Linked DNA regions of Astyanax mexicanus. The protein of the gene in region 2 purifies or fractionates together with the protein of the main gene of each other region. This does not show direct contact. Links are inferred from orthologs where the notes say so. Each region holds a gene or a part of one and is shown on either strand. Other genes may lie near its edges. The genes, in order: dnajb4 and bag5.

The links.
Region 1: the proteins of bag5 (region 2) and dnajb4 purify together in Homo sapiens (affinity purification with mass spectrometry; 4 studies listed by BioGRID and IntAct, with this or other methods). This does not show direct contact. The link is inferred for Astyanax mexicanus from reciprocal best matches to the Homo sapiens genes BAG5 and DNAJB4.

Annotation. Positions count from the first base shown.
Region 1 is NC_064415.1:56,250,369-56,261,222, reverse strand, and holds dnajb4 (dnaJ homolog subfamily B member 4), read right to left. Parts: upstream 7,115-10,854; 5' UTR 6,852-7,114; coding exon 6,641-6,851; intron 4,390-6,640; coding exon 3,806-4,389; intron 1,321-3,805; coding exon 1,087-1,320; 3' UTR 839-1,086; downstream 1-838. UniProt on the Homo sapiens protein: Probable chaperone. Stimulates ATP hydrolysis and the folding of unfolded proteins mediated by HSPA1A/B (in vitro).
Region 2 is NC_064414.1:30,076,787-30,087,640, forward strand, and holds the start of bag5 (BAG family molecular chaperone regulator 5), read left to right. Parts: upstream 1-3,783; 5' UTR 3,784-4,121; coding exon 4,122-4,153; intron 4,154-8,004; exon of another isoform or gene 8,005-8,132; intron 8,133-8,558; coding exon 8,559-8,835; intron 8,836-10,854. Other genes in the region: cytochrome c oxidase assembly factor 8, read right to left, coding at 933-1,043. UniProt on the Homo sapiens protein: Co-chaperone for HSP/HSP70 proteins. It functions as a nucleotide-exchange factor promoting the release of ADP from HSP70, thereby activating HSP70-mediated protein refolding.

The DNA.
Region 1 (10,854 bases), on a different chromosome or scaffold from region 2:
TTTGGCACACTGCCCACACTGCCAAAAGTACCAATTGGTCTCAGATAATATTACAATTTTCTGAGACTTATTTTTTTATTTTTTTTATTTTCTGTAAGCCACAATCATAGACAATCAAAAATAAAATAATTAAATGCTTAAAATAGATCACTCTGTGTGTAATACATTTATATAATATATACAAATTTCACATTTTGAACTGATTCACTGAAATAAGGCAATTTTTTAAATGATATTCTAATTTTTATAAATGCACTAGTATATTGTTTTTTGGAACTGGAACAGACTTCCATGGATATCTTTATAGGTCATGTTGTAGTTCCTAAAGCCTTAGGTTGTTGTCCTCATCATATGTCAGGCTCATAAAGGCTTTTAATTCCGTTTTAATTCCATTTTAATTCCCACCAGGCAGAATCTCAAGTCATCAGTTGTTTAAAAACGGATTAATTGATTATACAAGTGGTTGTTTAGGAAGAAAACCTGCAGCCACGTCAGCCCTTTGCACATAACATCAGACAGCCCTGCTCTGGAAAATTTTCTGAAGCAAAATGTAAATTAAAATCAGCCACAACACATTTTTCACAGTTTAAATGAAGCTGTAATACCCTTCACTGTATAAACACTCTTCAGGCAGCTCCTTCCAGAAGAAAGTGTTGCCATGTGTAGAAACACACACAAATGTGTTTGCTCTGTAAAACACATACAAATGTACAAATGTATTTTTTGACCACACTCAAAAAATGTAGTCAAGAGTCTTTCAGTTCTTTCCTTCTCCAAAAGTTCCTGTCAAAATGATTCGAGAAGAGATTGAGTAAATAAAACCATGGTGGGAAACAAGTCAAATTTCCACATTTACTTCTGATACATGGAGTTAGCACTTGTAGCACTTTTATGACCTTGTTTCAGCATGCAACAGAAAACAGACAATACTAAACCCTAAATAGATAAAAAAAAAATAGAGATTGCACATTCTGTATGGGGTGTAGCAGTGATTTGTCAATAAAGTTCAAGGACAGGTGGGGGAAAAAAAATAACAACAGTTTTCGGGACTTGAATGTCATTTCAGTCCGGTCCCTTTCTTTGATTTTACGAAGTGGGCAAGTGCCGTTTCAGGACGTCCTTGGCGTTAGTCGGCAGAGTGTCTGGAAAATTCACATCAAACTCCACTATGAGGTCTCCTCTTTGATCTGGGTTTTTAGGGAAGGGCAAACCCTGTCCAGCGATTGTCTTCCTCATGCCAGGTTTGATGACGTCAGTTATCTTTATGTTGCACGTTTTCCCATCTATCGTTGACACAGTAACGGAGCAGCCACACAACGACTGAAAAGAAAATGAAAAAATTATCAGTTGATTATTGACAAAGAAACACAAATTAAAAAGACTATCCTTAAGATATAGACGTGAAATAAACCCCACTTATCATTGCCTAAACACCAAAAACCAAATCTCTTATTGAACTGCACTAGTAGAAACAGCTGTAGGATTAGAGTACTGTCACACCAGCACTATTTGGTTTGGTTAAAACTGGTTCTGATTCTGGTTCGTTTGTTCCCTTAGTGTGGTTCATTTGAGCAGGTGTAAAAACAGTAATCACACTCGGGCGTGAATCAAAACCACCGGTTTAGTCACAAAGTCTGAAGCGGTTCTCTTGTGGTGAGAACTTGATCCAATCTCGATCCAACCCAGCTATTAAATATACTCCTTTTATTTAAGCTAAACTGCTGATAAGGCTTAGTTTAATCTGATATATTAGCCAAATAATGCTAATTACTGTGAACAAATGCTGTCTCTGCTGCTCCATGCTGTTTACGGTCTGTGTTGCGTTCACTGCTCGCAGCCGCACGACTCCAATTACTATGTATACATCTGTGCTGCACATCCCATTAAAAACACTATGTTTGAAAGTGTAGCAGCAAATTTTCAGCGTTTTGTGTTAAAGCCGCTTCACACTGCACAGATATACACACTGGAACACAGAATCTTCTCAATATATTTACTTTCTCGCTCCTGCTCCAGACAGCTCTGACCAATCAGAGGATAAGACGTGTTCCCTTAGTTTACAGGTGCACATTTTGGTGTGTTAAGTGTATGCCTGTGTGAAACCAAACCAAACAGAGGTACAAAGTCCAAATAAACAAATTTATGAACAGATCCAGACCATATAAACCAACTACAGGTGTAACAAAACGCCTTTAGTCTTAAAATTTACTTCAGAGAGAAATCGAATGAACAAGCCGGTGGATCGCTGTTATTCCTGTCTGGACTACAGAGTGTTGTACAATCTTGGGCAGCAGATTTCACATCTACTCTCAAGTCAGTGCACTTCTTATGTAATGTGAAGCATAAGCAGCGAGAGACGCATGTTAGATCAGCTGTTCGGTGGCTAAAGACAAGCATCCACCCCCTTAAATCTGTTCTTGGCTTACTAGTAGCTCCTTCTATGGCAGAATCAGTGGGAAGTGAAAGGCAGCGCTGTTGTGTTGTGCCTGGATTGTAAATGGCCTCAGTCAAATCGAGCCTGAGCTAACAAAAATAACAAAAATGCTTTCATTGACTTATGAAACCAACAACTTGATCAACAGCCAATGTACTATATGCTGTAGGCCTATAGTAGGAAGTGGTCTAGTCATTCTGTTACTGAATGAATCAGAAGTTTAAAAAATATTTAATATAGAGATTTAATGGAAGGCTCTAGCAGCTCCATTACAGGCTAAAAAATAGTCGCAACTAATCTGTAAATTATTTATTCCATTAGCCGATTAGCTCTTGCTCTTTTGCATGTTTGATGTTCTTTTGTGTGAATGTCACCCTGTTTCCCAGTCTCTAACACAAGTTCCCATAGCTAATTAAAATAGTGACACACCAAGCTGAGTGGGAACTAAGTGTGAACTGAGCAGCTCTAACTTGTCCCCCACTTTATTTCTGTTCCAAGCACTTTGTCAACAATATTTTATTATCACCATTGTCGATTATGTCGACCAATCGTTGCAGTTCTTTTGGCAAAAGAAACATGGAAAAAAACTAATCATTGCGGTTTCAGGCTTTCCTGTCCTTTATGATCAATCACCGCTGATTTACAGGGAATCAGCGTAATACAGCGTGGAGAAAAGCTGCAGAGAATGTTGGGTGGGTTTAGAAAATATTAACATATAGTTTAATTGAACAATATGAACCTATATGCTGCTCACTAGAAAGTGTTACGAAGCTCATTTGTACATTTATATTTATAAATATACATTTATATACTTATTCCTTGTATAAAACCAATTTGCATATATTAAAACAATTTAATTGGACAACGCAAGTCATTCAAAGTGTTTAAGATTTTTATGGTTGCCAATTTTTTCTGCTTTCAACCCATCAAATTCACTTGCTGCCCAGTACAGGAGCCACTGAAGTGTTTTAAAATTTATAGCTGATCTATGTGTCATAATAGTTAAAGACATAGTCATGCAACTTTTTTGGCCATCTATAATATATTATTTCCATTAATCTGAAGATATATTTATAGACACTGTTCATATATCAAGTTACAAAAAAGCGATCATGCCAGACCACTCAGTCAGTCTTCCTTTAGAAGCTTCACTCCCCAAATTCATGCATTGATACTGAAAAATTAACAACACTGGGCATGAAAAACAAAAGCAATAGGGCAAAATCCAGACTGTCTGCTGGCTGTGTAGAAATTTACAATAAGCCAATAAGTAGCTTGGGCAATGTTTTGATATCATAACTAATTTTTGACATTTATTTGCACTTTTGGGACCCCCACTCTTAAACTAAAGCCAGATCTGGACATCCTCACCTGCCGCAGACTGACGCGCACTGGGTAGACAATATCCGACCCCTCTCTCCTGAAGTGGGCGTGAGGCTTGTCCTTGATGACGAACACTATGTCAGCTGGGATGGTGTTGGGTGCTTCATCACCCTCTCGGGGGAATGTGATCTTTGTGCCTTCCTTCCAGCCACGCTTAATCTCGATGGTCAAGATCTTGTCCTCTGTCCTCATGGTGCGTCCATCTGGGTTCAGCCGCTTGCGTGAGATCTTCATTCGCTTGGTGCAGCCGTGAAAGACCTCCTCCAGGGACACTCTCAGCTCATGGTGAATGGCAGGGTCCTGCTTCCTGCTCCGCGGCTGCCCACCCAAGCCCACGGGCCGCTCGCCACGGGGGAAGCCGTTGATGTTAAAGCTGGTGAAGGAGCCGAACGGGTCGCTGCCGTCCACTTCCATGTCGTCGTCGTCCCTGCCGTTCACCTTCCTGCCGAAGAACATCTCGAACGGGTTGGCGCCGCCGAAGAAGGTGGCGAAAGTTGCGTGGGGGTCTCCATGAAAGGTGTAGGTGAAGTTGCTGCCTTGTCCATCAGTGGGGCCGCCACCACCTTTAAGACCTGGAAATCAGGAGATACATTGATTTTTTGGAAATTTCCACAGAACTAGATGGTTAGAATGTGAATTAATTATTTAATGTGGTTTGGTGTTCAACCCTTAAGAAAAGGTTTACTGTCTCAAAAGGTACATCAAATTACATCAGAATTTGCTATCTATTTTGCCGCCATCAACATTGCAAACGTTTACTGGTGAGTTTGTATGGTTAAAAAAAAAAAAAGTTCAATGGTCAGTACTGAAAAGTCCTATAGTGCTTTTACACCTAATTTTGAACCATTTACCACGTTTTAACCAACAAAAGAAGGTTCCTGAACCAGAATACTAGGTTCTTCATTGCAAATCGTGTTCATCGCCACTTTGCAACATCCTCTGTTTGTGACATTTTGATGATTCCACTAAAACTAGTGGAAACGCGTGCTGGTTCGCTGAAAAGCACCACAGTTCCTATAAGCCCAAACAGAGCTGGTTCAAGAACCAGAGTTCTTTTGGTGGAAAAGTGCTATGAGAGCTTCTCTACAATAAAAAACAAATCAATTACCCATCAAATCCACTATGAATTGTTTTAGATATCAATAACAGTATTACAGAAGATTGAATTCTGCTTTAAGCCAGCACCTTCAACCTGATTACACAAAAAGTGGAACTTGTGGCTCTATGTTCTGAGACATAAATTTGTTGATGCCCCCTTCCTGTCACTTCTAGAAGGCACATAACTGTTAAGCACACAGTGTACACCTCAAGATGGAGATTTTAGGACACTGTTTCATGCAATTGCTCCTCAGTGTCTCTGGAATCCCAACAAATAATGTAGTTATAGTTGCTTTCAGTGATAGATTTAGAAGGTAGTGAGGTACATCAATACTGATGGTACTGAATGTACCATTTCAGATATCTAGCTATTTGTCTTATACTGAGAGCACAAATAGCCCAAAATAAGCTATAATATGAAACATACTGTATATACATATATATAAGACAGGCTTTATAAAATAATTCTGAATAATTCTACACAGTATGTAGGCCATTCACTAGTCTGCATTCCTTCAGTGTTCTATTTGTATTCACCACTCATTACAGACTAATGGGTTGCAATTATGTCCTAAAACACTCAAGTAAGCGCTGTGCCAGATGTGATTTGACCACACAAACCATGACCACTATAGCTTGGGTTTATGACAACGTTTTTGTCCCAATATGGCTAATTATGTGGTCTCTTAGAGACGTGCTCACTGACGTTTTAGCAAAGGCAGGCTAGGAATGCTGCTACATTAGCTAAAATAGGGATAATCGTATATATTAAAGGTTTGGAAATGATTATATTAACGTTACATAGATATGGCACATTTTACTGCATCATGTCTTTTTAAGCTTGTTCTCTGTTCTAAGAAATTGAGAATCAGGGTGATGTCCCTTGTTTTAGGAATTTGTCTGTTCCACCTTAAATGTTGCAGCAGTTAAACACTGTTTTTAAATACTGTGGTCTGACAATGATGAAATGAAACATACATGCTATGATATGTTTGTATTGCCTCATGTCATCTCTGACAATATTAAAATCAGGGTGAATTTGGCTGTTTTAGGAATTAGGTCGTTCCACCTTAAGTGGTGCAGCAGCTTCGCCAGCTAATAAAGGCCTGACAGTAATTAAGTTATATTAAACTAATGCGGCACAAATAACATCGTTGTATCTTTACCTGCTCTGTAAATGTGAGAATCAGGGAGAATTTGGCTTGTTTTATGAATTTGGGTGTTGTATGAATTTGACAGTCTACCTTAAAAGGTGCAGCAGTTAAAACACTGGATTTTAATACTTAACCAGCTAATACATATCTGACAATGTTTATATAAATTAGATTATTGCACATTATACTTATTTATATCTGTATCTGCTTTCACAATACAAGAATCAGGGTGAATTTGACTGTTTTATTAATTTCTCCGTTCCACCTTAAAAGGTACAGCGGTTAAAACACGGGATTTTAATCCTTAACCAGCTAATAAAGGACTGACACTGTTTGTATGAAGCAGATATGGCATATTGTACTTATTTATATCTGTACCTGCTTTGAAAATACTAGAATCAGGGTGAAGTTGTCTTGTTTTATGATTTTTTAAGGATTTGCCAGTCCACCTTAAACGCCGCATCAATGCCAGCGGTTACTGCTGCACCGTTAAGGTGGAACGGAGAAGTTCGTAAAAGACAAGCTGGCGAGCGAATAAGAAGCCGGAGAGGGAGAGATGTGATGTCCTTACCTTCCTCTCCGTGTTGGTCGTATATCTCTCGTTTTTTCGGGTCGCTCAGCACCTCGTAAGCCTCGGCTATCTCCTTAAATTTCTCGCTGGCGTTGGGCGCCTTGTTTTTATCGGGGTGCCATTTCAGAGCCTGTTTTCTGTACGCCTTTTTAATGTCCTCTTCTGCGGCTCCTTTCGAGATCCCCAGTATTTTGTAATAGTCTTTTCCCATGTTTTCAGCCTCCTGAGAGAAGACTGAGGCAGACTGAGACGGTTATCCTTTGGAAAAATAGGAAATAACCAGCATATGAACGTGTCAGTTATCCGCTGGAAGAGGTGGAGATGGTGGATAAGTGGAGATAGATGAGTGATGGCACGACGAAGGCAGCTCGTCCGGCTATATGGAGGCGGTTACTCGATGCTCTGGCTCGTGTTTTACTCTGTTTTTCTGCCTCTCTCCTTGGTTCCCTCTTTAAATAGCCATTCCGCCCTCCCTCGGTCCAATACTGCACCCCTAGAAACCGTGGGCTCTTTCTAGAAAAGCTAACGCCGAGCGGCACGTCATCCCCTACGTCCACACTCTCAAATTAGTGAAGATAAATGTACCAATAAATCAAGCCAGGAAACTCATATTTAGGTTATTTTTAGGATTTGTTTTGTTACAAGAAAGTGGCACGAAGAAAGTATCGGCCTAATAGTGTCTTATGTCCATTTTAAAACCATTTAATTTGGTCTTTCAGCTGTTTATTTGATGACCAAACCTAAAGAACAGGCCCGTTGCAACAGGGCAAGCAAACTAAACAGTCGCCCTATAGGGCCCTGAGCTGGCCTGGGGACCCCAATGGCTGGTTATGAACCCTAAACCATATGTTTTCCATCAATAGCTGTAATGTATTCTTTTGAAGTAATAAAACCATACTTAAATTTTTTTATAAACATTTTCTAACCTACACACATCACATCATATGGCATCATTTCTGCTGTGAACAAACATTTCGGGTTCCGTTACCTACTTTTCTTGGTGGAAACACGGCAAACAGCTTCAAAATTTGGTTTGTGAACCAGAACGGTCCTGATTCCACATCGGAGGAAAAGCACTATCAGAGGCACACTGCTGCTGCTGCAGCTCAGCCAATCAACTCTTGCTTCTGCCCCACCTCTAAACCCATACATCAGCCACTGCCTTGCCTAAACTACCCCTGTCATTTCTTTTAGACTTTTTAAAATTTGAGCTGAGGGTGGAGTCAGAAAATATCAGGGGTTTTAAAGCTTCTTTAAATTCTGTAATGGCCAATGCAGGGAAGTACAACAAGTGTGAGGGGGCCACTTCCACTAGTTGCTAGCAGTAGCCATTCAGTCAGGTTTATGATTCCTGTAGCCGGCTTAATTAAATGAACTGCCCAAAACAATTCTCAGCTCTTATACTCTCCTGGGGTGAGAGTTGTTATCATTCACCTCCTCACCCCTCCAAAAACGTCTGTTTATTTTGATTAATTGGCCATTATCTTAACTAAAAAAGCTAATTTGTCTTCACTCTGAGGGGAAAATGCTCAGTCACAAGCTTTGGAAGAACACCTCTATCAGATTCTGAAGAAAATATGTCATAATAAAAAAATTAAATGTTCTCATAGAGCTGAACATCTGGTTTTGATCTTGATAACAAAACACAAGGACAGCTTTCCCACAAGTTTCATGCTGTAATGGTCTACTAACATTCACAATTATTAACACAATTTCTTAATAATGGAAAGAACATTAAAATAGTCATGCTGTTCAACAAGCTTGTGTATAGTGGTCATGCTGGTCAGCTAGTCTGCCTGGTCATACTGCTGGTTGACTAGCTAGGTCAGGTTGGTTAAGCTGGTAGACCAGTTAAAATTGACCCTTAAATTCAAAAATAAAAATTGCCCATTGTTGATCATGAGCTAATCTAAATAACATCACCAACAAACTTGTGTTTGCAACAAATTAATCTCCAAATATTTAGTATTTAATGTATCAAAAGTATAAATATTTCACTAGTCAGTTATAGGGCTATATGTATCTATACATGACATTTTTAAACATTGATTATCCAGTTCCAATAGCACCTATAACGAATGGATATATTGGGCAGCCAGTGAATAGTCAGTTATGCAATTTTTCACACGTGCCAAATAGTGACATGTAAACAACAGAGCCAGAACATCTCTAAAACATCATGACGGATTTCAGGAGGTGTTAGTGGTACACTTTTTGAAGTTTTATGTCTCCCCAGGCAGCTTACAACCCATCGAAAACTCCAAAAAACAGTGGTTTTAGCCTGCTAGCTAGCTAACCAACGCTGTGGACCTAGGGGGCTTCTTGGCTTTCTGCGTCACTTAGCCGGAAACAAAGCTGCCACAGATGTAGGCTACTACAGATCATTCCCTATAAATAGCAAGTTAGATATCTGTGATATTAAAAGACAGAATCCCCCCACCAGCCCACCCTTCAGGGACGGAAAGTCCACTGAACTATCAGCACTATTAATACCCCTAATGGTGCTAAATAGAGCCAGTCAGTCTTTTACAGAGCTGTTCTTGGTTTGATGCTGTGGGGCTGTGTGATCAGTGCAGGTACTGGGAATCTTGTTAAAGTTGAGGGTCTCATGGATTCCAGTCAGTATAAGCAGATTCTTCAGAAAAATGTTGAAGAATCAGTGAGAAAGTTGAAGTTGAAGTTAAAGCGAAGAGCCGGGCCTGGATCCTTCAACAAGACAACGACCCTGAACACTAAACACACTGCTCAAAATCTACTAAAGCATTCATGCAGAGGAACAAGTACAATGAACTGGAGATGTTTTGAATGTTTTGTAAAGAAGAATGATCCAAAATACCTTAAACCAGAAGCCAGACTCTCATTGGAAGCTATAGGAAGCTTTTAAAGGCTGTTATATTTCTTCAAAAGGAGGATCTACTAAATATTGTAAAATATGTCACTTTTCTGTCTGGGTTCCCTAAATTATGTGCCTGCCTAATTTTGTTTAAATAATTAATAATCCTATAAACTTCATTTGAATTATCGAAATACATCACTGTGTTCATCTGCTGTATGATATATTTAACTGAAATTGCTGATCCTAACAACCAATGATTTATAAAGGAAAATCATAAAAAAGGATCAGGGGTGCCCAAACTTTTTTTAATACCACTGTACTTCCCTGCATTGACAGCTAATTGAAAGCTAATTTAAAGTTTATCTTAGCAGTAAATTCATTGGCTGGTGGGCCCCAGGCTTGCTCGGGTCACAAGCCAATTGGTTGGTTTGGTTTTCTTGTTGCAACAGGCCTGGGACATTAATTTAATAATGATATGTTTATGGGCACATATTTGGAATAGTGTTGCTTTACATGATCTATTCAGTGGGACTCTTCAGTAGGTGGAGCTGATAAAGTAAAAGTGAGTATAGGGTAGGTGTTTTTAAAGTGTATGGTGAGTCATTTTACAAGTCTCCTCCTGCCTCCTCTTAAATCTGAATTATTTACTGTCAGCATATTTATATTGATCAGCAGTTGCCTGATCTTAAAGCATTAGATTCTCATATAGGTAAAATAGTGTTTTGCTTTAACAATAATAGATCTACAAGAATCTATAAGAATCTTTTGTACTTTGTAAGCTTGATCACTATTATTTAAATAATAAAAAAAAAAATAATTAATGCAACATAAACTTACATACATTTTATTAGACTATTATAAGCTTTTTTATAAGATTTTTGGCGGCGCCTGCTGGTCAATAAGCGGAACTGCAGGAACTCCAGTGGGTGAAATCTCCCATGACTCAGCGTTTTACCTGCAGAGGCAGACAGCATCCAGCCATCCTGCTGATTATAGAAAAGAGACAAAAAAAAACTGGATTATGAAACTAATTATTCAAGAGTTTAATAAAGAGAAAGACAAAAGACAGACAACGTTTTATTTCTGCAATGCAAACCTGTTTAGTTTGCAGTCAGAATTTCGTTTTTTCATATTTTATTGGTATTAAAACAACACAAAATTTCTTAATAAAAAAAAAAAACATTTTCTTGGTTTGTTTAGCAATTTTTTGTTTCATAAATAACTTCTTTAATTATTAATAGCTTTAATATAGTTTTTTAGTATTACATTTAAATAGTAAAAAATCATAAAATAGGAAATTAGAAGAATGAGAATGAGAAGAGTTGTGTCCAAACTTTTGATTGGTAATGTATATGTGTATGTATAAGCACAAATCTAG
Region 2 (10,854 bases):
CCTGAAATAGTCTTGTTGTTCCCCTGTCATGTGAGTTACTTGCGAATAACTAACTCATCTAGCTTGTTTTTTTCCAGTCTTCTGTTGCCCAAATCTCAAGTTCAAATTCCTCGTTTCTCACTGTCAACATCTTATATATTATGTGCTCTATTGGGAATAAAATGTGGGTCTATGAAGTTTGCACATCACTGCGTTCAGTTCTATTAACTTTAATAATTTTTTAATTTTTTATTTTTTCTATTAACTTTAATTTTACACAGCATCCAATTTTTTTTTGGAACGGTGGTTGTAGGTTTAATTTTTATTTGTATAGTTACTTATTTACCATTTGAGCATATTCATAATGTATGAGAACAGATTGTTTAAAGGTTCATTATATTTTAGCGCAAGATATGCTCAGGTGATGGTACTATAACAAAGAGGATAAGATATAAACAAACATAAACAAACATAAACAAAATGTCCCTTAACATTTATGTTTTTGTCTTTAATGCTGCCTGGGGCTGAAGGATATGGCAAAAATCTATATCACAATACATTTCTTAATTTTCATAGGGTTCAATTCTATCATCAATATTAACAATATAAAAGCCACCACCTTAATCTAGGTGATCATGCACTGATTAAGATATTGTAAGAAAATTAATATAAGAGTATTTAAAAACATTTTTTATAATACATAGTATTTATAATATTTTGACACTCAGACAAAATGCATCAGCAGAGGCAGAATCTGCTATTTAAATGCTACACTGTACATTGATTATTTTTAATGTTTGCTGCACATCAACCAGCTAAACAGAATCCGGAAATTTCGACAAATGTCGACACGATACAATATAGATATATTGTCCAGCTCTAAAGTTGCCTGACAATATTAACAGACGTAAAAGCTGCTGACAGGGGATCATGTTAGCTCGACAGATACACACCTCTGCTAGCTCATCCTGTGGCTGGCCCGCGCAGTGGTGCCTTATCTTTAGGACACCAGAAGCATAACGCTGAGACCTGAAAAACAAACTGCCCACAGCTCGTGTATTCATTTTTAGTTAATCCTATTCCATATCTACTAAATATCCGTCTATTATCAGACCTTACACACACAGGGTGACCTTAGCTACACACTACTCTCGTGTCGGCACAGCAGAGCGCGCAGCCACAATATGAGGGGAGAAAAAAGGTACATTACCCAACTTTCAAAGTAAAAGTCACCCCAAATTCGTAGCTCACTGCGCCAGTGATATATACATCCAAGAAATAAAAATAATAATAATAAAAAAATAAACCTCATGTAAGCAAATATGTTTTTGGTTAAACCTCACAATACTTAAAAGTAGATACACCCCCACATTTTACACTACTTCTTTAAAAGCTGAAGATGATGAATTTATCACTCTAGTGTTCATTTACCATCACCTAATGTTTACTTATTTATTTACATTTTATTTCCAATAATTTTGTTTAATTGTATTCAGTGAACGTTTACACAATTATTTTTTGCCTAAAAATGTCCGCTTTTATGTATTTACGTAATGTTTTTTAGCACAATTATATATTAATAATTTCACTTTAAAAATAACAATATTATATGTATTATATATGGTATTATTAATAATAATAATAATAATAATAATAATAATAATAATAATAATAATAATAATAATAAATGTATTATTCTGTCTCTCAATTAAAGACTTTTTTTTTATTTGTGCCCGACTTCACACTTCATCTCCGGGAGGAGGTTCCGCTCTTTTCCTGTTGTGATTGAACTGGACGACCGAGACGTTTCACTGAATTTAAAATACGATAACTCTTAACACCTGAACATATTAAGTCTCCATATTGTAAAAATATAAATGTATATATTATTACCACCACGTTAGGAAGCTAAAAGACTGTAGTGACCAAACAGTGGAGTAGCTATAGACTTTTAGTTAGCTAGCTAGCTACCCAAGGTTGTATTGAAGTCTGAGAGAAATCAACAATTAAAAAAAAAGTAAAAACGAGACATAAAATCAGAAGATATAAATGTCTAATTGTCGTTAAACAGTGGAATACATTCTGAATACAGCGATGGACTAAACTCGGGCTCGCTGTCTGTTAGCTACAGCGCTATCTTCTATCCGGGTGTTTTTGTCCCCGCTGGTCATTGGTGGGAGTTAGCCGGCTGGTCCCGTTGGGCTTGTTTCTCTCACACACTGATGTCCCGATGGCTGTGCGCTGGTTATGCAGGTGGGTAGTTTGCTAAAGCTGAATTATTGAGATGTAACGTTAGTTATTAAGTGAGGGGTCTGTTGTTTACAGGACTGGCTGGTTTTATACACAGGCTGGTCTGTAGCTTGTTGTGTGCTAATTTGAGCTCCTCATCGCCTAACCTTGTTCTTGTTGTGTGTATCAGGGAGAGAGAGACACACAAAGGATTGAGCATCTCTCAGTCCAAGCGGATTATTTTATATAAGGTCGAGGCTACCGTTAGCTAGCTAGTCCTTCAAGCTAGCTGCAGTAAACAGACAGATTTTTAATCCTATATTTATAGGTGTGGTTAACTGAGTAATGTAGGTTAACGTTTAGCTATCTTGGCTGTGTACTTGCATCAAGGTGTTCTGTCAAATACAGCTTCCCGAAGCTGTGTAATACTGGGCGGTTCTGCACATGCGCTGAAACACATTTGTTTACGTGTTTTTCGTGATAATTCTGTTTTACTAAGGCGGATTATACAATGTGAGTTTTCTGTTATTGTTTGTTTGAGAGTTTTAAAGTGTAACCAGAAGTCAAATAAAATCAACTTCTTATCACATCAATTAGCTGAGCTAGTTAGCTTAGGTTAGCTAACCCAGCTAACTACATTAAATTTAAACTGATAACAGTTATAACCTAGGATACAACACCTAGGTAAATAAATTAAATCTAATATAACACATGATACATAACCTATTAGTTAGATTAAATTTAAACTAATATAACCTAGCTCCATTACATTTTTAAACGGATAACCTAGGATATATAACCTAGCTACATTAAATTAAAACTGATATAAACTAGGATACATAACCTATTAGCTAACTTACATTACATTTAAATTATATAACCTAGGATAGGTAACCTAGCTACATTAAATGAAGTCTGATATAACCTAGGATACACAACCTATTAGCTACATTAAATTAAAACTGATATAACCTAGGATAGATAACCTAGCTACATTAAATTTAAGTTGATATAACCTAGGCTAGATAACCTAGCTACATAAAATGTAAACTGATATAACCTAGGATAGATAACCTAGCTAATGTTACATTACATTTAAACTGATATAACACATATGGCCCAAATCACTATAACTAGCTAGCTAACATAAGTAACGTTAACCCATCTATACATTTTTAGATGTAATGGTGTTTTTTTTAATCCGACCTACCAGCTGTATTATGTAACTAGCTAGCTAGGCAGCTTTACCTTGAGATAGATATACACACCATGGTAACTAACCCAGTTAGGTTAGCTAAAATGCTTTGACAAGATATCTATAGCTAACTAGCTAGCACTCAGACCTAAAGCTAGTGACTGACATTCATGTGTATAAAAGATTAAACCATCTAACCAAGGTAAATAGTCTTCTGGAAGAACCAGATTATGATGTTTTGAAGACCAAAAAGGGCGGGGCTTTAGAGGGCTGGAAACTGGTGGTATCTTGTTCTGAAGTGTGTCACGTTTTGAGGGCAATAGCGTGAGTTATATTAATATATAGTCGTGTCTACTGTAGATACATCTGTATGTGTGTGTGTGTGTGTGTGTGTGTGTGTGTGTGTGTGTGTGTGTGTGTGTGTGTGGAGTGTGTAATATCCCAGCAGCTCCAGCAGCAGCAGCTCCCTCCTGCTCTCTGAATTGGTTCCCCCGGTCTGTCTATCTGCGCCTGGGCTGCGTGGGGTGGGATGGGATGGGAGGGGCGCCAATGCAGCTTAGCTCGACTAAACGCAAATCTACAGCCTAAAAAGCCCCCGAATACAGAGCCGCTGCACTGTACACACTCAGCGTGCCATCGATCGCTGAAGTACTGAAGTCTCTCAAGGCGTCCAGCAGTTTAGCAGCACGGCTTATGGAAACGAGCCTCTTCAGACATAATGTGCGCGAACGTCTTCGGCGTGTTGAAGAGGTGAGAAATAGGCTTTTCTGCGCAAGGAGGAGGTGGTGGTGGAGAGGAGGTAATGCTGGTGTTGGTGTGTGGAGCCACGGACTCGAGCGCTCGTGCTTATAATTTCTCGTTTTATTGCCTATTACCGGCAAAACGTGGCGTTTCTGCTAGCTGTAATAAATGAGCGTGCGCTATGCTCAGGGCTGGCTCTTTTGGTGGGCGTAGGTAGTTGGGTAGGTATGTAGCTCGCTGGCTAACAGTGCTGAGGTGCATGAATGCGGATCAGCCTCTCTGTCTTTCTCCACGTGTGAACCAAAAAGATAAGGAAGACGTTATGCAAATAGTGGCCTGAAGTGCTGACAGTATTTTAATTCTCTCAACTAGGTGGCTAGTTAACTAGCCTTTTCTTTATCAACATCTGAGTTACTGACCTAGTCTTCCCCATCCTCATGCATCTGTTAGCTAACGAGCTAGGTTAGATGGACTGTTCCAGAAAGGGGGATCCTTTACATTACCTCAGCTAGAGACAGGGTGAAATCATTGACACACAGCCACACTGGCAGTAAATGGTCACCAAAGATGTTCGTTCACAGACCCTTAATGTCACAGTTTCAGACACTTTAATTGGCTTGTGTACCAGATGTTCACCACATTCTCAGCAGATTCCCCAGATGTTTGGTCCTGATGTATCCAGCATCATGTTCTTTCCTGCGCTGACTAATAGGTTTAGGCATGGATGGCATTTGGGCGCCCTCGCCCCACCCTAACCCATAATCCAGAGCTTTCGTGTTGTGCCCAGGCTCACTAGGGACTTCATAATCAGAATCCTGGAGCAGACCCATGACAGCAAGCGTAATCAGGGCATCTTCTACTAAACAAGTGAACGAGGACAGCTGTTTAGGCAGCAGCAGGTTGAGCAGCCGTTCCTGACCACATTCAGGTCCGGCACACACACTTAAAAATTGATGTTCTATTTCACACCTCAAATCAAATCTGGCTGAAGGTGTTGGTATGTGTCTTCACAGCTGCCATCTGTTTTCTTTCACATTCTCATGCAAATAGGTTAACCCCTTAAAATATTTGTCCTGTATATTGGCTACAGGTGTAGGTGATACAAAACCCTTTTTTCTGCAGTAAAATAAGTTATTCATATTCTGAAATCTCCTAAAGGACACTTGGAGAAGCTGCCTGTTCACCCTCTACTCCACTTAATAATTCCAGATTAGTAACAGGAATCAACCCAAATTCTGTAAAAACTGTACAAACATAACGAAAGGAAAGGACATTAACTATTTGATTGGTATTCAGGAAAATTAAGTTTAAAATTTAAAATACGATTTTAAAATTAAGTTCAAGGAAGATTTTCTGATTTTATTTATTATATTTTGACATCAGCAGATTTACTTAATTTTTTAAATATATTTTCTATTACAATTACAATTATGATTTTCAGTCATGTTCCTTATCAAACATTAAAGCTTTTTATTTAATGCTTGAATTAAAAATGTTAGTGTAATGTCAGGCAGACCATTGACAAAAATCCTGGCCTGTTAAGGTGTTAATAATGTAAAAGCACAGACAGCCATAAACAATGGCAAATATTCATAGCATTTATGGACACACAGAAGCTATTATAACTATAACAGCTAGCACATTCAAACAGAGCTACATCTACTGGACATCCCATAAAGGGATTTTAAAACAGTCGTGCTGTTTCAGGTTAGTTCAAGTCCACCGAAAATACCATGTAAGTAAATCCAGAGGTGAATGTATTTATGCCCCCACACAGTGAATGTTCGTGTGTATGTCTGCTTTATCCTTTTTCACGGTCACTGCCAAAAGCACAGCGAATGACCGTGGGATGAGCAGCATTCTTCCACATGAAGGAATTTCTCTTCACCTGGTTATATAAGCATATAAGACAAGTAGACTATTAACCCCTAAAGGGCCACTCCACTGAAAGAAAATATTCCCAGTTCTGCTGCATATCAAAAGAGAATGATTGAATTTGTGATTGAATCATATGGAGGTACATTACTTTTTAAATATTATGGTGTAAGGCAAATTCATGAGCAAACTTCCAAGTACCACCTACTGTGGCTAATGTGTGTGGTCTGTCCATATCTGTACCAGTAATTGGCCAATTGCATATTGTTGATGGTCAATGCAGTATGCCTGCTGATACAGCTCTGAGGAAATAGCAGGAGTGCGAGACAATGTAATGAACTACAGTGTCTACATGGCATCCTCGTGAACCCTAGGTTAATTAGACTGGAAATTATTGAGTTCCACAGGGTTCAACTGTAGGGCCCATGAAACCGATGTTAATAATTAATTAGTACTGTAGTTATGAGAGTAAAGAAAGACGTGTGGGCTTACACACAGGGTGTATCAATTTCAAAGTCCAAGTCCAAAATAATGAAAAATACAGATTAATTCTCTATAAATTTGTGTACAACCTTGGAATGCTTTGCCATACCACTGGTCGTACCACCAGAACCGCTGAAATATTGTATATTGTCACTGTTGTGCTGTTAACACTTGTATCTCCAAAACAGCAACCGTTTTAACAGAAGAAAGTGAAAAAAAACTTGTCAGTTTAAATTAGGTGATTTCAGGCATTTTATAGCATTTCTATTGGTCTGTTTCTCATATAAGTGTAATAAAAATTTGCCAGATTCAAATGTCAGAAGTGGTAATACAGGTGTTTTATGTTGCAGCTTACATATATTTATCTATTTCCACCATTCTAACATTCTAACAAACATTCTTCTACTACTAGCAATATGTAAGGACATGTCTTGTAGAAGATCAGGGTACAAACACATACTGTCACTTTAAGAGTCGAGAGCATGACCTGTCTGTTGTGACCTCACAAGCACATCTCTGTGGAATAGCCGCAGCCCTCCGTGGCCAATAAAATGTTTTCCAAGGACTCTAAAACTGCAGTGAGTGAGCAGACAAGACAGGTCTTGCTTGTGTGCTTTCTTTGTGTACTTGGATTTTGAGGGCATTTCATTTCTTACTGGATATCTCTGCTGCAGTTGGGCTTGTGAGTACTGCTGCTATGATATGTGTAATATGACATTGTGAATTCACTGCAGGCAACAAGCAGAATCACACAGTTATGGGGATATTTGGTCTTTGGTCAAAGGAAGTTCTTTCCACTTCCACAAGCTGAAATAGTCATGACTTTATTGAGGTAGGGCACTTGCTTCATTCTGCATGCATGTTGTGCTGAGAGTAATTAATGACCAGTGGTCCTGGTAAGGATGTTTTAACCCGACTGGTTCTGTCATACATGCGCCCACACTGTGCGATGGGTTCATTAATTTAACTTACGGCCAGAGCAGGCTGTGGATCAAAGCCTGGGTAGCTGTTGTGGTGCTGGAGCCAGGCACAGAGCCCTCTGATTTTTGTTCCGTAAATACCAGCTTTTAATTATTGGTCCAGTTGCAGCTCTTGTCAGACTGTTCTTTTTTTTTTTTTTTTACAAAGGTTGTTTAATTACACAGAATAAGAGTGGCTTCTTTTCAATAGATAATCTAGTATAGCATATGAGGCTTTATACGCTGGTTCTTATGCTTGCAATGGGTGGAGAGCCTGACAGTGTGGGAAAACAAGTTATGTTGGCATTGCTGATCAGAATCCAGATACACGCAACAAAGCTTTTATAACCGTGTCCTAATTATACCCCTTTAAATCCATGTTAAGGTTTGTTGTTGCTGTGGGATAAGATTTGGGGGGTGTTTTACAAAGCAAAATATTTCTAGCTTAAGACAACAGTTTTTTTTTTTTTATGATTTTTTTTTATTTTGTTTAATCCTGCACTTTGCTACATCTTGTGTCTTCACTTATGTACCCTGTGTCTCCCTATAGTTGAGACTGGTTTGTAGGAAGATGTCTGTCAAATCAGTGAGTTTTCTCTCCAAGGGGTTGAGCCGAATTCTTCTTTCCTGCCAGTGTATGACTCCCTTCGTGTGCAGAATGAGTGTAACAGGTTACCCTCATATTTATTTTACTTCTAGTTATAAACAAGGATTAATCTACAGTAACTATGAGAATCACATGCATAAGCAGTTGCTCCCATACTGCTGCGTGATGCTTAAGCACATTAAGGGTATTTCGGAATAGAACTGGTTCTTTTTTTCTTCGTCTGTTGTTCCAAGGATTGAAGATAGCCTGACCACTTCTATTGGTCATATCAAATTTTGGTCTGTTGGTGCAAATCATGGTTCACACAAACATCTTTCACACCTATTATTTTGGTTTAGACTAAATAAAAAACAGAAAACACCCAGAGAAAAGTTCTGCAAAAGTTTTTCTCTGTGTCCTACTATTACTCATCTTAACTTCCTATCCCAATAATTCTACCCCAATACCCCTAATTTCTACACTCACTCTCTCCTGTTCTTCTCCCTCTCAGCCTTTTTGGGAAGCCCTTTGATGGTGGGAAGAGGACAATGGATCATGGCAATCAGCAGCAGCAGCAGACTCAGCAGATGCCGGGGCCATTCCAGGCATTCGCCGGGCCCCAGGGCCCATATCCTGGGCAGCACCCCACCCTGGCGCGGATAGACGAGCTTCAAAGGGAGGTGGCCGCACTGGGTCCGCAAGTGTGTTCCTTCAGTGGCCTGCAGAGCGACAGAGATTACAAGCGGCTGGAACGAGAGCTGACAAGGCTTCAAATGGAGGTCGATCAGGTCAGGAGCCGAGATGGTAATGTTCATGGAGTAGGGGTGTGTAATGCATTGGTGTATGAAGAAATGGGAAGATAATCATTTGTATGGGTCCAGATTTGGAATAGCAGTCGATAATACATCAGTTGTTACTTCTACAGGTGTAGATATAATGCGCACTGAAAAAAAATCCAGTTTCTTTAGTTCTTTTACAAGCTCTGAAATCCATAATCCTAATCCTAATATATCCTAATATATAATAATTATATATTAGGTCAAGAGTAAATATATTGCTCACCTTTTACTTAGGAATGCCAATCCAGTAGCTTAGTGCTGGCATTAATGAATCCATCAATTTTGTGAAATGTGCCAGTTCCAGAGCCTGATGCTAACACCACCATGCTTAACAGTTGGGGTGGTAATGTTCATGGAGTAGGGTTGTAAAGTATTTTGCTGTATTGCCAAACGTCAAGATATGGCTCCAGTTGTAGGATTGCATTTAATAATTCTAACATACACCCCCACTGACCTCTGTATTAGGCACACCTGCTTTTTGTCTACACTTTCCTGTTTGCCATTCTCTATTGTGGTTCTACGATTGATTGAAGTACACCTGTTTTTTTTGTTTTTTTTGTTGCTAGCTGACCTTTTCCCTATTCAGCGATACTCAGGACCACCACTGGGCAGGTGTATATGCTTCATGAAGCATTCTCTGCAGAGACAATATTCATTGGCATGTATGCTGCACAGAAAATTTCACACACAGCAGCAGCAGTGTCTGAGCACTAGAGGAAACGGCTCAAAGTCACTGCAGTTTGAGGATAGACTGCCAAATCAAAAATATCCAGCCAAACGTTTTGTTGCCAGTAGCTGACCGCTGATGAGGTATCAAAGGATGACTAACACAAACTGTGTAGCAACAGATGAGCTGTGGTCTCTAACTGTATCTGCAAGGTGGACCAACAAAGCAGCAAAGTCCTATAGAATGGAGAGTATGGTGCGTCTGATCCACTTGTACCAACAGAACACCCACTCATCATGTCACTGCAGTGCTGAGAGTGCTCCATGCAAATAGTAGCTGATCAGTGCTGGTCCTGTGGTGTCCAGACCATTGGTAAATGGGGTAAAATGGGAGCTAGCATATTGTGCAGCTAAAAAGCTAGACTACTATTTATGGTTATAGTCCTAGGGCTGGGGCGGTATTGATTTTTTATAACCGCGGTAAAAAACTAACGCATCACCGCGATATTGCGGTTAACCGTGAGACCCCAACTCCCCCCCCCCCCCCCCCCCCCAAAAAAAAAAAAAAACACCGCAAATTTATTGGTAACAAATCTTTATTCTTCAAACCATACAGCCTACATACAACTTCTACATAAACCATAAATACAGCATAACAAGTGAACATATGCTGCCTGTATAATTCGTCATTGTACAGCTAACCTGTCTTTTTCCGTGCAGACTTTTTGAAGGAGGAGCTTGTCCGCCTCCCCCTTCTCCATCCATAGATCTATTTTAGGGCTGGCCCGAATAGCGGTTTTGAGCTCAGGATATTCGGCAGTAATTGGTAGCGAATATTCTAATATTCGTTTAAAAAAAAAAGACGAATTAATCCACAGCAAAATTTTCCACTGACCCCCGGCCCCGAAAAAAATATATTTCTCACCCCTTTCCTCGGGCCGTTCGGGCTCAAGGCTCAAGAAGTCTGTGATAGGCGTCTGTTTTTTTTTTATTCACACTCTTCTTATTTCTCATTAAATATCTACTAGATACAGATTATATCTGTACAGTATCATTTATTTCACTTCCCTCCTGAATATTTGGAGTGCATTATGTATCCTTATGTTGTGTAGTTATGTAGTTTTCACCCCAGAATTTCTGCTGCTGCCCAGGCTTCGGCTGCATCGCAGGGCAGGAGCGCAGCTGCGTTACGGCTATTTCGTTTGAATTGTGCAGTGCAGAGTATTACAGATTTTGTATTTTTGCACTTGGGCTATTAGCTCAATATTAAATATTTCGTTTGTTTATAAATTATTTTATATT